Linked DNA regions of Ovis aries. The protein of the gene in region 1 interacts with the protein of each later gene in a biochemical or structural test. Links are inferred from orthologs where the notes say so. Each region holds a gene or a part of one and is shown on either strand. Other genes may lie near its edges. The genes, in order: CACNA1A and CACNB4.

Evidence for each region.
Region 2: the proteins of CACNA1A (region 1) and CACNB4 form a complex in vitro, tested with the Homo sapiens proteins (2 studies listed by BioGRID). The link is inferred for Ovis aries from reciprocal best matches to the Homo sapiens genes CACNA1A and CACNB4.

The regions. Positions count from the first base shown.
Region 1 is NC_056058.1:10,324,095-10,332,281, reverse strand, and holds the start of CACNA1A (voltage-dependent P/Q-type calcium channel subunit alpha-1A), read right to left. Parts: upstream 4,242-8,187; 5' UTR 3,612-4,241; intron 1-3,611.
Region 2 is NC_056055.1:157,488,653-157,496,932, reverse strand, and holds the start of CACNB4 (voltage-dependent L-type calcium channel subunit beta-4), read right to left. Parts: upstream 4,626-8,280; 5' UTR 4,327-4,625; coding exon 4,267-4,326; intron 4,107-4,266; exon of another isoform or gene 4,015-4,106; coding exon of another isoform or gene 4,006-4,014; intron 3,779-4,005; coding exon 3,695-3,778; intron 1-3,694. UniProt on the Homo sapiens protein: The beta subunit of voltage-dependent calcium channels contributes to the function of the calcium channel by increasing peak calcium current, shifting the voltage dependencies of activation and inactivation, modulating G protein inhibition and controlling the alpha-1 subunit membrane targeting.

The DNA.
Region 1 (8,187 bases):
CAGATATGCGGATGATACCACTCTAATGGCAGAAAGTGAAGAGGAACTAAAGAGCCTCTTGATAAGGGTAAAGAAGGAGAGTGAAAAAGCCAGCTTAAAATTCAATATTAAACTAAGATCATGGCATCCAGTCCCATCACTTCATGGCAAATAGAAGGGGGAAAGGTGTAAGCAATGATAGATGTCCTGTTCTTGAGTTCTAAAATCACTGTGGATGGTGCACACAGCCATGAAATTAGAAGATGACTGCTTCTTGGCAGGAAAGCTATGACAAACCTAGACAATGTGTTCAAAAGCAAAGACATCACTCTGCTGACAAAGGTCCATATAGTCAAGGCTATGGTCTTTCCATAGTCTTGTACGGATATGAGAGCTGGACAATAAAGAAGGCAGAGCATTGAAGAACTGATGCCTTTGAACTGTGGTGCTAGAAAAGACTCTTGAGAGTCCCTTGAAAAGCAAGATCAAACCAGTCGATCCAAAAGGAAGTCAACCCTGAATTCTCTTTGGAAGGATTAATGCTGAAGCTGCAATACTTTATCCACTGAGGGGAACAGCAGACTCGCTGGAAAAGACCCTGATGCTGGGAAGATTGAAGGCAGAAGGAGAAGAGGGTGACAGACAGTGAGATGGTTGGATGGCATCACCAATTCAATGGACATGAACTTGGGCAAACTCTGGGAGATACTGAGGGACAGGGAAGCCTGGGGTGCTGCAGTCCACGGGTAGTGAAGAATCGAACACAACTTCGCAACTGAACAACAAGTCGGTCACTCAGTAGTGGCCAACTCTTTGTGACTCCATGGCCTGTAGCCCACCAGGCTCTTCAGTCCATGGGATTTCCCAGGCAAGAACACTGGAGTGGGTTGCCATTTCCTCCTCCAGGGGATCTTCCTGACCCAGGGATCGAAATTGCATCTCCTATATCTCCTGTGTTGGCAGACAGACTCACGGAACCACCTAGGAAGCCCATAATAAATGAAGCTTTACAAAACCACATTACCTTCATTAATCAATTCTTGCAACAATATCAACAACAAACAAGTGGCCAAGATTTAGTGAGCACCTACTATGTGCCCAGCACTGAGCATCACCTGGCCTGGTCCCCCAGGACCTCTACTATTGGGATGCCACAATTGGCCTGTCAACTAGAACACTGATGCACAGACTTAAGCCCCAGTTTCTAAGACTCTGACTAGCCAGTCAGACTCTGATTCTGCCCTGGAATCCAGCTGAAATGCAGATTCTAACTCAACAGGCCTGGATGGGGCCTGAGACTCTGCATTCCCAGAGTATGCTGCCAGTCCAGGGTCTGCATTTTGAAGATGAAGGTCTGAGGAGTCTGACCAGCTCCCCTCCCCTCCCGCACTCAGTTAAGTCAGTCTCGCTGACCGCCATCAGACAGGCTTGGCCTTGCCGGGAGGGGCTTACGAGAGCATGCCAAGAGCCCTAGCCTGTCTGTCACTGTGAAGACAGTTGGCTTGAAAGATCCTGGAATAAGATCTTCCCTCACTTGCCCTTGGCCACTAAGGGCCCTCTTGTCCTGTAAGGTAGCATTAAAAAAAAAAAATAAGAAAACAAGTCAAACCTTCTGCTGGTGCTATGATGTTCAAGAGCTGCACTTGGCATTACTTTGCCGGTCATTTGCCCAGTAATTTGTTCAATGTCAAATCTGCCCTTGGGGGACTTCCCTGGCAGTCCAGGGGTTAAGACTCTACACTTCCATTGCGGGGGGCATGGGTTTGATCCCTGCTGGGAGAACTAAGATTCCTCATGTCAGTGCTGCCCACCTCACCCCCCAAAAATAAAACACCTTTAGAAAAAAAAATCTGCCCTTTGCCTCCAGAACCTTAGTCCTGATCTTTCCACTTACTTTGGGGGAGCTAGAGGGGCAGCACTGAAGTTACCCAGTCTTATCTAGAGGAATGACGGCATTTGCCTCAAGCAGCATCTTTATGTGCTCAACGACTCCGTCGTTCCCGACTCTTTGCAACCCCATGGACTGTATAGCCCGCCAGGCTTCTCTGTCCATGGAATTCTCCAGTTAAGAATACTGGAGTGGGTTTCCATTTCCTTCTACGAAAAGCAGAGTAAGGCACCATGCATTGGCTGGAACGCCTTTATGCGTGCCTGCATATCCCAGTGTTTTAGAGGAAAACATCAATGGGATAGTCAGCTACTAAGACCTCTGGAGTTGGGAGCTTTCCTGCAACCCGGGTCTTGGGTTTGGAAGATCTAGAAACCAAGTCAGGGGTGAGGGGCCAGAGTCAGCCAGACACAGGAGACTGCCTTTCTCCCAACTTCCCCACCGCAACTCCCCCATCCCTCCCCCATCCCTCCCCCATCCCTCCCCCATCCATCCCCCATCCATCCCCCATCCATCCCCCAGAGACCTAAGCCTGTCCGTGAAAGAGCCCGCAGGGGAAATGGCAGGTCTGCCCTGAAGTTGGCGGCTCTGAACAGGAAACTCAGGATGGAACCGGAATACCTAGTGGAGATCCCTACCAGTCTCCTACCCCGGCACCTAGAAGCTAAGGAAGGAGGCGGCTCAGGGAAGAGCGCCCCTCTTGTCTGTTCAGCCACGGCGGAGGCCACTGCCTCCTGGAAGCTATATCATCCTCCCGTTTACATTTCCTTTTGATTCCTTCTTCCAGCTCAGTCCCTCAGGAACCCACAAAGCCCGAGCCCCGGGAAAAGGCAGAGGAGCCCAGCCTGCGGGGCGCTTCCCCCTCCCGCCCCCACCAGCCACGTGTTCTCTGAAGCTGTCAGTGGGCGAGAGCCAGAGAGGAGAGTGATTTCTCTCATTTCTTGAGAAATAAAAGCCACCCGGAGAGTCAGTTCTGTCCAAACATTTCCTAAAGGGAGGGGTTGGTCTAGAGGGGTGCCTAGCACTGTCTCTGCTTTTCATTTGGAGCAAGGGAGGGCAGAATATTAAATATTAAACAGAACAAGAGGTTGCCTAAGACGGCGTAATTATCCTCAACAGCCATCTGCCATCTCCCTTTTTCCAAACGTATTCATGCCGGTTAGAGCACAGCAAACAAGGACCGGCGACACGGGGGGCGTGAACTTTTGTTTCTGGGACCACCACCCCGCCCCCCCCAACAAAGTCATAGGCAATGGGGGAGGGGAAGGCGCGCAAGATTCCAAGCTCGTCACTTAGTCCAGCCTGCCTGCATCTTAAAGCAAAAACAGACTAATTTAGACTTGAGTGATGGCCGGGGGCGTGGCGGAGGACAGGAGACGGGGTTGGGGGAGACATTTAAAAAAAAGTAGAATTAGGCTTAGCTTAGAAACCGTGATCATTGGGGAAATGTCACAGGCCCAGAGCAGGTGGCAGAGATATCAAGTACTACAGGAGGGCCAAGGGCAGTTGAGAGAAAATGAATATTTCAGCAAGAAGTAAAAGCTGGAAATCAGGGAGTCTGCCCCCAGCAAGAGAAGCTGCGGAGAGAAATAAACTTCCCACCCCCCAAAGAAAACCTATTCAGAGGAAGGAGGGGGTCATTGGGTTCTTACCTTTACCTATACAGGTAAGGTTGCAGCAAGGAAATAAAGATTAGACTCCCTGCAGAACTCTGCCCCCCCCCCAGATTTTGTCGCTCACTCACCTGTGTTGCATGGGCTCTGGCGCTCAGGCTGTGTGGTTAGTGGGCAGCGCAGCGAGTCCTCCGGCTGTCCTGAGGGCCCCACCTTGTCAGCGCCCAGGGGTCCAAGCCAGCAGATGCCCACGCATCCATTGCCTGCCCAATGGAAAGGAAAAGGGGGCCCCGGAGGAAAGAGAGAGAAAGGGGACACCAAGAGCAGCCAAGCTCAGAGCTGAGGGCTCCCCACAAAGGCAGGTGCCAAATGGGGCTTCTGTGCCAGATAACAGTGGGGGAAAGGGAAAAGGAAGAGGGGGAGGTTTCCCTAATGTTGGGAGGAGACAGGGGAGGACTAACGTGTCATCAGCCCCTGATCATCTCCAGCAAAGTACTTACTGCTCGGGAACCCAGGACAGGGAGACTATCCAGCCTCCCATCCACAGTGCTCCTCAGGGGAAAATAAAAGGGAATTCTTACTCTCGGCTCTCTGCCCCTTAACACTGGACCGCGACCTCCCAGCACGGGGCAGGACTCTCTGGAAGGATGCTGTGTATCACCCCTCTACCTTCTTCCAGAGCAGCTTCTCTTAAGGAGCCAGGAAAGGCTCTGTCTCTCCTACTTAGTGGGTTTGCGGAAGGGGCGTGTGTAGCAGGCGGGAATCAGCATGGATGTGGAATCACACTTATAATTTAACCATCTCCCCTCCGCCAGATTACCTAAATTATTGATGCCCTTACAGAAACACTAATTAGAGGACAGCTGCTAACCCCACCCCACCCCCAGTCTCTTCTGTTCTCTGGCGAAACAGCATTTCTTTGAGCTCCCTCCCACCCCCTTAAGGCAAAGGGAGTTGTATGATTTGAATATAAAGGCAGCAAGAAGAGAATTTGAGTCTTTGGATGCAAAAAGGCAATTGATGGCAAGCTTCACAGGTTTGTTTGCTGCGTGCGTAGACATAGGTTTCCAAAACTGGGGTGACCCCCTTTCTCCTTTTAAAGGAGGCTCCTTTTAAAGATGAGCTGTATGTCTTATAAGAAGCATCTAGGGCAGAGAGAAGCCTCATGTTTCATAAAGTGGAGTCAAAATGGGAGGATTTACCTCACTGGGGAAAGAAGCATTGTTTATACAGGAGCAATTAAACCTGGGCTGGGTGTTAGGGGATATTAAAGAATTACTGTTCTTTTTATAAAGTTTCTTAGTAGTATTTTGATTGTGCTCAGTCCTGTCTGACTCTTTGCTGCCCCATGGACTGTAGCCCGCCAGGCTCATCTGACCATGGGATTTTCCAGGCAAGAATACTGGAGTGGGTTGCCACTTCCTACTCCAGGGGATCTTCCCTACCCAGGGATCAAACTTCATATCCCTGTGTCTCCTGCATTGGCAGGTGGATTCTTTACCACTGTTACCACCTGGGAAGCCCAGTATTTTGATTATGTTGTTTTTTAAAGTCTTTATGTATTAGGGATACATGTTGAAGTATTTATGCTTAAGGTGATAGGTCACTTCCAGGAGTAATGAATGAATAAACAAAATTTCAGATCCTCTGTAATAGGGAAGAAGAAACGTGATTCCATATTGAATCTTTCACTTTAACCTTTACAGTCTATTGCTTTTGCTATAATAATGTTGCCTATAGCCTGAAATACACTGGATAGCCCATTTTCAAGCCTCTGACCTTTAAAGGTATAACACTTTCCCATTCATATAGAGATAAAAAGTTGCAGAATGTGGAGAAGGAAATGGCAACCTTCTCCAGTATTCTTGCCTGGGAAGTTCCATGCATAGAGGGGCCTGGTGGGCTACAGTCCATAGGGTTGCAAAGAGTAGAACACGACTTAGCGACTAAACAACAGTCGCAACAAGGTGGGTTGACATTGCTGATGGGAATCACAGGATGTGCAGATCTGGCTTCTTGAAAATGCTGATTCCTCCTGCTGCTGCCTCTGCTAAGTCGCTTCAGTCGTGTCCGACTCTGTGCGACCCCATAGACGGCAGCCCACCAGGCTCCCCCGTCCCTGGGATTCTCCAGGCAAGAACACTGGAGTGGGTTGCCATTGCCTTCTCCAAGGCATGAAAGTGAAAAGTGAAAGTGAAGTCACTCAGTTGTGTCCAACTCTCTGTGATCCCATGGACTGCAGCCTACCAGGCTCCCCCGTCCATGGGATTTTCCAAGCAAGAGCACTGGAGTGGGGTGCCATCGCCTTCTCCTGATTCCTCCTACCTTCCTACAATTTCCTCTTTTTGTGGGGAGAGAGCAAATTAGCCAAGATGGTGTGGTCAGGCTTTCTTGCCCCGTGGCCTCTCGCTCTTGCCCCCTGTTTTATAAATGATTATGTGACAGCTGTTTCAGAGGGCAGCTGGCACATTCTGCTGAATACATGCTCGGGTGCCTCGGGACTGAACTTGCTTGGTTTGGATACACATACCAGCTCGCCCTGACTGGAGTCAATACTGGGTACGCTTCTAGCCATTGGTTCTCATGCTCCGCTGGAAAGACCCCCTGTTGAGTGCCTGCCCCAAACAGTGTACTCTGGCCAAACGTCCATGGATTTCCCCCCTTGTAGCCACAGATGTATTGTGTTTACCAATGTTTGCTGTTTAAATGGTTTTTTCTAATTCCACGTGTTTTCCAATCTCTTTTCATAAGCCCTAGACTACATTAAACACAGTTTGCACCCCACCCCCCAAAGTTGCAGAACAGAGAATGACTTTTGTCTTGCTGGAGGTTTACTTGAACATGGTGACCTGACCTACCCAGACAGCTGCAACAAAGGATTCTTGACATCAGGAAGTTTGCAGCAACCAACCACACCTCCTCCCCTTTCCGTATCAAAGAAGCCTGAATTCTAACTCAGGGAAGATGGTTCTTTGGGATATTAGCCCGCCATCTCCTCAGTTTGCTGGCTTTCCAAATAAAGTCGATATTGCTTGCCCCGACAACTTGTTTCTTGATTTATTGGCCTGTTGTGCAGCAAGCAGTAGGAGCTTGGATTCAGTAACACCTCTGTACAGTGGAATATTATACAGTCATTAAAAATAATGGTTCCCTGATGGCTCAGACTATAAAGAATCTGCTTGAAATGTGGGAGAATCGGGTTCGATCCCTGGATCAGAAAGATCTGATAGAGAGGGGAATGGCAACCCACTCCAGTATCCTTGCCTGGGGAATGCCATGGACAGAGGAGCCTGGAGGGGTACAGTCCATGGGATCTCAAAGAGTCAGATACAACTGAGTGATTAACACACACATCAAAAATAAGGAAGCGCTGAGACATACTACAACATGGCTGAACCTCAAAAACATAATGCTGAGTGAAAGAAGCCAGACACAAAGTGTCACATAGTGTATGATTCCCTTCATATGAAACATCCAGAATAGGCAAAGCCACGAGACAGAGAGTAGATTGGCAGTTTCTAGGAGCAGGGGCATGGGGAGACAGGGGCTGCCTGCTAGTGAGTATAGGGTTGCATTTTGAGGTGATGCAAATGTTCTAAAATAAGATAGAAAAGTGGCATAATACTGTGAATGTACTAAATGCTCTGAATTGTTCTCTTTCAAAGGGTTAGAGACTTCCCTGGTGGTCCAGTGGTTAAAACTTTGCCTTCCAGGGCAGGGGGTTCAAACCAGCCAGGTTCAATCCCCAGCTGGTCAGGGAGCTGAAATCCCACGTGCCTTAAAGGCCAAAAACCAAACAGAAACCCCCATAAAACAGAAGCAATATTGTAACAAACTCAATAAAGACTTTTAAAATGATCCACATCAAAAGAATCTTTAGAAACTTCCCTGGTGGTCCAGCGGCTAAGGCTCCAGAGTCCCAGTGCAGAAGGCCTGAAGTTCAATCCCTGGTCTGGGAATTGGATCCCACATGCCGCAACTAAGACCTGGCAGAGCCAGGAAAAGAAACTGTAAATAAATAAAAAGATTAATTTCATGTGAAAGGAATTTCCCACAAAATTTTTTTTAATACAGTGCAATAGGGAGGGGAAAATAAACACCGCCAACACATCATTGCTCACTGAAGAAGCTGGCTTATGAGGATGAGGGAGTCCAGTGTTATTTTCATTGTATTCTCTTTGCTTTGTGCTTAAAACGTTCTTTTTTTAAAGAGATGGACGTAAACATTAAATAGGAAAAATGCAGCCCATGAAGGTGGGTTTGGACCAACAGAAGTGGGGTAGAGAAGGCTTCTCTGTGGGATACTGGAACCTCAGTTCAGCAACTAGGTGAACCCCCAGGCTTCAAAGTAACTCAAAGAATAGCCAGAGTGTGGAGGACAGAGCTGAGCTATGGCAAGCTGTGTGACCTTGAGCAAGTCACTTAAGCCTCCATCACCTCCTCTTCAAAACTAGGATAATAACACTTGAGGAGGGTTGTTTTGGGTATAAAATGAGACATCTGATTTGAAAAGGCATTGTGTGCTCTAAAATGCTCTGCAATGTAAGATGTTATTATTGTTATTCCAGAAGCCATAAGTCTATGCAATTAGCATTGAATTTTCCTATTTTTAAATCACGTGACTTGTATGAGTCACTTCATGATGAACATAAATAGCCATCCTGGTTTCTTTAAAAGTCCTTTGAAAATGTCAAAAAAGTTCTGCTT
Region 2 (8,280 bases), on another chromosome or scaffold:
TTCCATCTACCCCTTCATTCTTTCAAATCAGAGAGATGTGTCTATAACCAGTGCTTCTTTCACATATTTATTGAACACCTACTATGCTAAATGCTGAGGAGAAAATGGAGACCAAATGCAGACACGTCCCTGCCCCAGTGGAATCTGTTATCTGGATGGGGAAACGGACATTAATAAAACATGTAATGACATGTTAAATAGGTAAATAAACAGCCATGGTACTATTGAGAACTAGCACAGTGCACTCTGGGTACTTGGTTAAGGAACTGCCCTTATTAAGGAGATTAGAAAAAGAAGTGAAAACTAAAGTTAGGTTTCAAGGAAGATTAAAAAACCAGCTAGGCAGAGGGGAGAGCCTCCACACAGAGAACTTCACATGTGCATAGGGCCTGTGGCATGAGGGAGAGTGGTATGTTCAAGATCTGTTTCCAGAACTAAGATGGTGGCCTAGGATGAGGCTGGAAGCTGGTAGGATCCAGGTCTTACATGCCTCTGCAGTTCTCATAAGGGCAGTCTTAAGGAGAAGTCAACAAGCCACTCTGATCAGATTTTCCTTTGAACCTCAGAGGAGGAAAACACTGGGAGTAACCCCAGTGAGGGTAACCTGGAGCACTCTGCCACACAACCTGTATGTGCTGTGATACCCATGGTATCTCATATACTCACACACATGGGCATTCTGCAGACACCCTAATTCCTTGCTCCATCTCACCATATTAATTGTATGCATCTATGTCTCTGTAACTATATCAGAAAATCCTTTAGGTACAGGGGCTGTGTCTCATTCATCTTTTCATTCCTATCCCACAGTATCTAGTGCAGGGAAAGGTACATATCGAATGTTTAGTGAGTGCTTCCTAAAAATTTAAAGCATGAATAAATAATCCATTCATAAATGGCCTGTCAAAAGTGATCTCCTGAGAGAAAATTCTACAGCCTTTCTTGGAAAGCCATCTCAAGGATATCAACATTCTTTGGAAAGTCTTGCTATAAAGTATCCTTCCTTTCTAATTGTAGCCAATTGTTGAGTTCAGCCTCCATGAAGACAGAACAGCCCACCACATGTCCAAAGGACAGTCTTCCTGTACCCTTTGAGGATCACTACCGGGTCACCCCTAGTTCTTTCTTTTTTCAGTGAGGAAATACTTAACCTTCTCACCTTTCCTCAAAGAAATCATTTAGTTGCTCCCTGGATTCATCCCAAAACCTCCATCGCTCCTAAACTGTGGAGGGCAACAATCTAGCAGATCAGCAAACAAGGTCAGAGATGCCTGAAGGGTTTTGTGAGCAGTCCTCAGGGGGAGAAACAGGCTGTCTTAGTCTGTTCATTTTCAGGCCAGGTCACATGTGTGCATGTGTTTGTGTGTGCACATACATACATCTGTGCACATATACACATGAACACTGAGATTTTTTTACCAGCTCAAACAATAAACACTGTTCTATTTGATGAGTTTGCCAACTGTCCTCTATTCTTCACCACCAGCCCGGATGTTCCTCTCTGATTCAATACATTTTTTAAAAAAATAAGTGAAACCTTTACCCCCATATCTTTGCAGATTATATGGCAGAGAAATGAGCAGCACTGTTTTTACTGATATCTTCACTATCTTCTTGTGCAAAGGCATCACACAGATTGTGAAATACATCAAGAATTCAAAAACAGTAAATCACTGGTCATTCTACAAATAATAAGTCTCTAGTAACATTAAACAGCTGCTGGTCTTTTTTTAAACAATTTTTTTTTTTTTTTTTGGCATTTGGGTGAAAACTGTTAAATTTAATTTCAAAATACAGTGTTAAAGTTCCATTTGGAATCATTTTTCATCTCTTGTCAAATAAATTAAAATTCCTCAGTTGTTTTATCATTGTCATTACAGAAGTCTATATTATGACATTTAAAGAAGATCAGATATAGGATGCTCACTGAGCTGTAAGTCCTCATAACAATTATGTATTATTTCTGTGCAGAAAAGTTAGTAAGACTGTGTATATGTTAATAATATCATTACAACAAAATGTCCAAATTTAAATTAGATCATCTTAGTAAACCAACATATCCTAGCCTAGTTTCAGAAAGACTTATGAAATATATTTGTTCCCCAAATCTGTGACAGTTTAAATTACTCCCAAAATTATTCAGCATGAATACTTTTTACATTTTTAAGCCGACACACACCAGCACATTTAACAAGAACTTATACACGCCTTATCTCACTTATTATTTAACTTGAGGAAAGAATAAGATTAATATATTACAAAGAATATTGATTGTGCTTGGATGAATAAAACATTACTGAAGTGATGGTATAGATAAATTCAAAAGTGTCAGTCAAATGCCTCATGGAATATACTGGTGTATAATTAGTATTTCTAAGAATCTATAGTAATAAAACACTACCAAAAATAGGCATCTACAAAATAAACATAAACAAGATCTCAGTCACATAAGTCAATTTTTGTAAAAGAAGAATGTTTGCTTTATTAAATATGTAAATAATCTAAACACTGCAAAAAGGATAGAATACATTTTTTGAATTCAGAATCCAAAATATACTTATTTTAATAATGCACACACTTAGTACTCACTGAATGAAAGAGTAGTTGCAGTAATTTCTGTCCCTGAAGAAAATGAATGCCTGTGTAATAAATACTATGTAAATACGCTTTATGGACTTTTTAGGAGAGGTCTGAGTCCAATTTTGAGTCTAATGCCCATTCCTCAGGGGTAATCTGTTTAAATTGAGGATAATCACTAAAGAAACATAATGCAGCTGCCATCATAGGTTAAAAACACAGTACACGATGATCTGAGTTACCTAGAGGGAAAAGAACTTCCCAAGGTCATTCCAGCAGCCCACAGCGGAGCCTTGGTGCAGTGACCACGGTCCTCCCAGGGTACCCTGAACTCACACACCTCGATAGCTTCTCTTCCAAAGAGAAATCAAGGTGATTCCTTTTCGCATGATCTCTCTAGCACCCAGTAGCTATGAAGGAGTGGTTTCTCTGTAGCCCATAGACAGTACGAAATTAAGAACCAACTTCCTGTGTCAAGCTAAAAGGCACTTCAGCATTCGGTGGAACCAGTGATCTTTATCACACTCAACGCGCACTAGAACCACGCAGAAGAGAACAATCACTAAGAAAACAAACATTAAGTGTGGCAGCACCCAGACCCCAGAAACTGAGTGTAGGTCTTCGCTTACTTAGATTTAAACAGATCCGGCAGTCTTTCCCTAACCGAGCGAACCAAAGAATAGGTCCCAAAGCGAGACCAAACTTTCTGCTCAAAGTGTCTTTCCTTTGGACCAGAGCTAGGAGATGACAAAGGAGAGTATTCAAAATAGGGCAAAACAGAAGAGCTTCTAACAGCCGAATCTAAGCAGTTGTCCGGCGCCCGGGGCTCTGGTCAAGTCAAGTCACACGCCTTAAGAAGGTTTCCTCGCGCGACGAAGGTGCAAAAAGAAATACTTCCACTCTTAAATTCAACTAGGTCCCAGCTGGCTCGCGTCCACACGTACCAACTTCCCGGGACCCTAAGACTTGGGAGCCGGGACGGAAGGAGAAGGACCAGCCGCAGGGCACGCCGAGGGAGGGAAGGGGCGCGCGGGGACCCCGCCCGCCGCGCCCGCACGAGGGGGCTGCGCTCAGCTCCGGAACACCACCCCCACCGCCCCCCGCGCCCGCCTCCTACCTGTCTGAGGATGAAGCTGGTCGAAGTGGTGCTGCCATCGGATCTTTTCAACCTGCTCCTCCGGGTCGTGGTGCCTCGGGCCACCTGCACTCGACACACGGGGTCGGAGAGAAGCGCATGAGGGCGCGGCAGTGGGGAGCCGGGCGACCACCCCAGGCTAGAGTCCGCCTCGGGACCTGCTCCCCGGGGGCTCCCCAGAGCCCGCACCCACGTCTCCTCCACGGTCCCCACATACAGCCTCCATCCCACCCACCCACTTAAGCCTCGACGACTGAAAAGATGCCCGGGAAGAGCCGCCCGCGAGCACCCACCACATCCATTAACAAAGACTCTCAGGGTGCGGGGTCCGAGTCCCCGGCGGCATGGGCTGGGGAAGGCTGCGGACTCCGGAGCGGGAGCGCAGAGACCTGACGAGGTGAGAAGGAGCAGGAGCAGGAGGAGGAGAAAGAAGAGGGCGGGAGGAGACAGGGACGGCGCGCAGGGGTGGGGGAGCGGGGCCGCTGACTCCCAGGACCCGGGCCCCGCTCGCCCGGCGCGAAGGCGGGGCGAGGAAGGGGAGGAGGGGGCGGTACCTGCGAGGTTGGGGAGCGCGGCCGGTCGGCGCTCCCGTTCTTGGCGTAGGAGGAGGACATGGTTCACAGCCGCATGGCCCGCCCGTGCTCGGCGGGCGGAGGACGGCTGGGCCCCCCGGACGCTTGCAAGCTGGAGGCGGGGGAGGGCGGCAGGACTTCCCCACCCGCTTCGGGACCCGCGCCGGCTCCTGCGAGCGCGGAGACACCTTAAAGGGTTCGAGGCGCTCACCCTCGCGCCAGCAGCGGACCTCCAGGCAGCGGCCCCCGCCGGCGGAGGTCCCGCGGAGGGGGGCTTCTCGGGATCTCGCCGACCCGAGGCGATGGAGAAGCGCTCTCCCACCTAGCGAGCGCCTTACATCAGAGCTTTCCAGTGGAGGAAGGGAGAGGGGGAACCTAGGAGGGGGGTGGGAGGATGAAAATAGTCTGCACAGTTTAAAATGAGACAAAGGTGGCACGGTTCATGAATCAGGACTCGGGGAAGGACACTGGTGCAGAGTGGCAGGGAGTGGGAAAAGCCAATTCGGCGTGTATGCGTGTGTGTGTGTGTGCGCGCACGCGGGTGTGTGTTTGCTGCACTGGAATTTTAAAAGGGCAAGAGCAGAACCTTTCTTCCGCGACTTCACCCATCAGCCCATTGTGGTAAGGCATGGGGTTCTGTGGTTTGGCTTTTTGTCCGAGTCTTTGTATTGTTCTGTGAACTCTAGCTTCAAAACCGCAAGCCATGCACACCCGGCAGCCCCGGGAGATTCTGCCAACCTGAGTCTGACCGGGGTGCAGCCCGCAGCAAACCGGCGTGTCCTAAGGAGTTTTGAAGGTCACATAGACGTGCTGAAAGGCAAGAGTTGGCCACGTGCCTTCCCTTTCTAGGCGGATATCTGTCTTCAAGGGAGAGAACTCATCTTTGAAATCATACATCTTTGGCGTTGTTGCAACCCTAAATTTCCTCCTGCAAAAACATACTAGAGATTAACTGGAGAACAAATAAAAGCGAATTGTGGGGAGGAGGACTTGAAGTAACAAGCAGGAAGAGAAACATGCGAATTCAAAAATAAAGAGACCCTGTTTAATTGTAAATAGTTACTGCAAGAGAAATCCATGAATAAAATTTGCATGGTATCTTAAATTACTACATCAGCCCCTATCACCTTGGGTTCTAGTATTTTTTGAGGGAAACTGCCTGTCTCTTTTAACAATTAGTTGGCCTTATTGAGGTCCTGATAGTTTTACCATACACCAGACACTTTCTTTCCATTCCCACCCCCTTCACTTAATCCAGACCTTCAGTTCTTTGTAAGAGTATAATAATTAGTCTCCTTGCCTCCAGCCTTCCTCTAAGCATACACCTGCACACACACATACCCACACACTTCATTCTATCTAAACACTACAGGCAAAACCATTTTCCTAAAATCTCTTTACTCAACTCACTCTTTTCTAAAAAGCACTGCTGACTTCAAAAAAAATGTACAATGTGAGTTACATGCCGTTTTATTTGGGGCAAAATGAGGACTGCAGCCTGGGAAATGGTGCCTCAAGTAGCTCTGAGAGACTGCTCCAAAGAGGCAGGGGTGAAGGTCAGTATACGCCTGATTCTGGCAAAGGAGGAAATACATATAATCAAGCACATGCACAGGTTTCTGCTATCTCATGAAGCTTTTTGCCAGTGATGAGAAACAATCATCACCATGAAGGATTTTAGTGCTTTTCTAGATATGAGGAGGCATAACAATTGGACCTATAAAATGAGATCCTCAAAATACCTATCTGAAGATCTGTCCTGCCAGTTCCCCCACCCCATCCAGAGCACAGAGTGCCTCATTTCTGGGCTCCACCTGAACTCCTTTCAGAGGCTGCTGAAGGTCAGCAGCACATGCTTTAACCCTTATAGAGGTAGATGGCAAGTGTCAGTTTGTAGTTGATGGCGCTCATTGCTCTCAGCAGCCCACAAGACAGAGTCCAAACTCCTTGGCCCAACAACCAATCTCCTGCTTTGGTCACTACCACTTTTCTCCAACTTGATCACTGAACAGCAAGCAGAAAGGTCTGCTCATTGCTCAAACACACCAAATACAATCCCTCTTCAGCACCTCTGCCTGAAATGTGTCCTGCCCCCAGTCCCACCCGCCTGCATCCTACCCTGCTTCCAAGCCTGGTTCAACACACTCTCCTTCCACAGAAATCTTCCCTGACCATGCCCTGAAAAACTGGAGCATTTATTCTCTGGGCACTTAGTGCAGGCTGCCTTGGTTTACGTGTTCTCTTTTTGTGAAAATCTAATTCCTAAAATAGATTTTTAGCTTTTTATCTTCCATTCTTATATCTCACATGTTATATTAATAGATATTCCATAAAGTATATGGATAATGGTATGTCTGCCAATGCAGAACCCCTTGCTTTAGTTACCGTCAACTCAATCCATTTTAAGTTCTCAGCCATTTTCATAGTTGATACTTAATCAATACTTACAGAGTGAATTATTATGTGGGCACTGGGATTTGAGTTTTCTGGCTTTCTACTGCCTACAGTCTTATGACACTGAGTTATCAAAAAAGAATCTACAGTGGCATGACATTGAAGAGTTCTCTTTACCTACCTCACAGCAAAACTGGTGAAAATAGTTTCTAAAAAATTCTTTAATCTGTGGAAATGGTCCAGAGAAGGGTATGCAGCCACTGAAAAAACATTCATTCAGGAAAATTTACTAAAACTCAGTAAGAAAAGTGAGCTTGTGGTATTTGAACCAAGACTTGTTCTCCCCACCCTCACCCCCCACCACCTTCATCTGATTGAGCAAGAGGGAAACTGGCTACCTGATGCTGCTGGGAATACAGGGCTCCCTCTCCCTTCAGCTCCCAGCTGGAGGGTTATTTTCCTGGGAGGGACAGGCCATTTATCATCCTGCAGCGGCCACCTGTTGCTGAGGCTAAGTTCCCCTCAAATACAGCAGAGGTGGGGGCTCCTTTCTTTAGCCCAGCCCCCACTTGTGGGATGGGGGCTCTGCCTGGGACACAGTGCCACAGAGAATACTGAGGACCCAACTGCTCCTGGAGAGACAAGCCAGGAGACCCAGGCTTGCTGCCCCTCACTACCAAGCGCTCAGCTCCTAAAGTGAAAATGTCACACAGAGAATGCCATTGTCCTTGCCCCCAGGACTGGAACTCAGAGAATGAAGTTGGGCCCCACTTTGCACCACATACAAAAATTAACTCAAAATGGACCAAAGATCTAAATGAAGAGGTCTTACACAAAAGTGTAAAACTATTAGAAGGAAACATAGGGGTAAATCTTCACGATCTTGGATTTGGCAATGGATTTTTAGATATGTCACCAGGAGCACAAGCAACAAAAGAAAGAAAGTAAATTTGAACTTCAAAATTGAAAATGTCTGAACTTTTTAAATTTTGTGGCACTGTCAAGAAAGTGAAAAGGGCACTATCAAGAAAGTGAAAAGACAACAGAATGCCGGAAAATATTTGCAAATCATATATCTGATAAGGGACTTGTATCATATACGTGTGTGTGTATAAATATATATATATTTATTTGTGTATTTTTATATATATATATATATATAAAACTCTTATAGCTCAGTAATAAAGAGACAGATGACCTTATTTTAACATAGGAAAAGAATCTGAATAGACCTTTCTCCAAAGAAGATATACACATGGCCAATAAGCTGATGAAAAAATGATATTTTTAGTCATCAGGAGAATGCAAATTGAAACCATGATATACCACTATACTATCCACTAGATAAACCTCAGATAATAATTATTGGCAAAGATATAGAGAAACTGGAAATCAGAAATTCCCACTGCTAGTGGGAATGTAAAATGGTGCAGTTCCCTTGAAAACCAGTCTGGCATCTACTCAAGTGTTTAAACATAAAGTTACAAAATGAGCCAGCAATTCCACTCCTGAGTATATACCCAAGATAAACAAAAGCATATATTTATGCAAAAACTTGTACAAGAAAGCTCAAAGAAGCATTATTCATAATAGCCAAAAAAG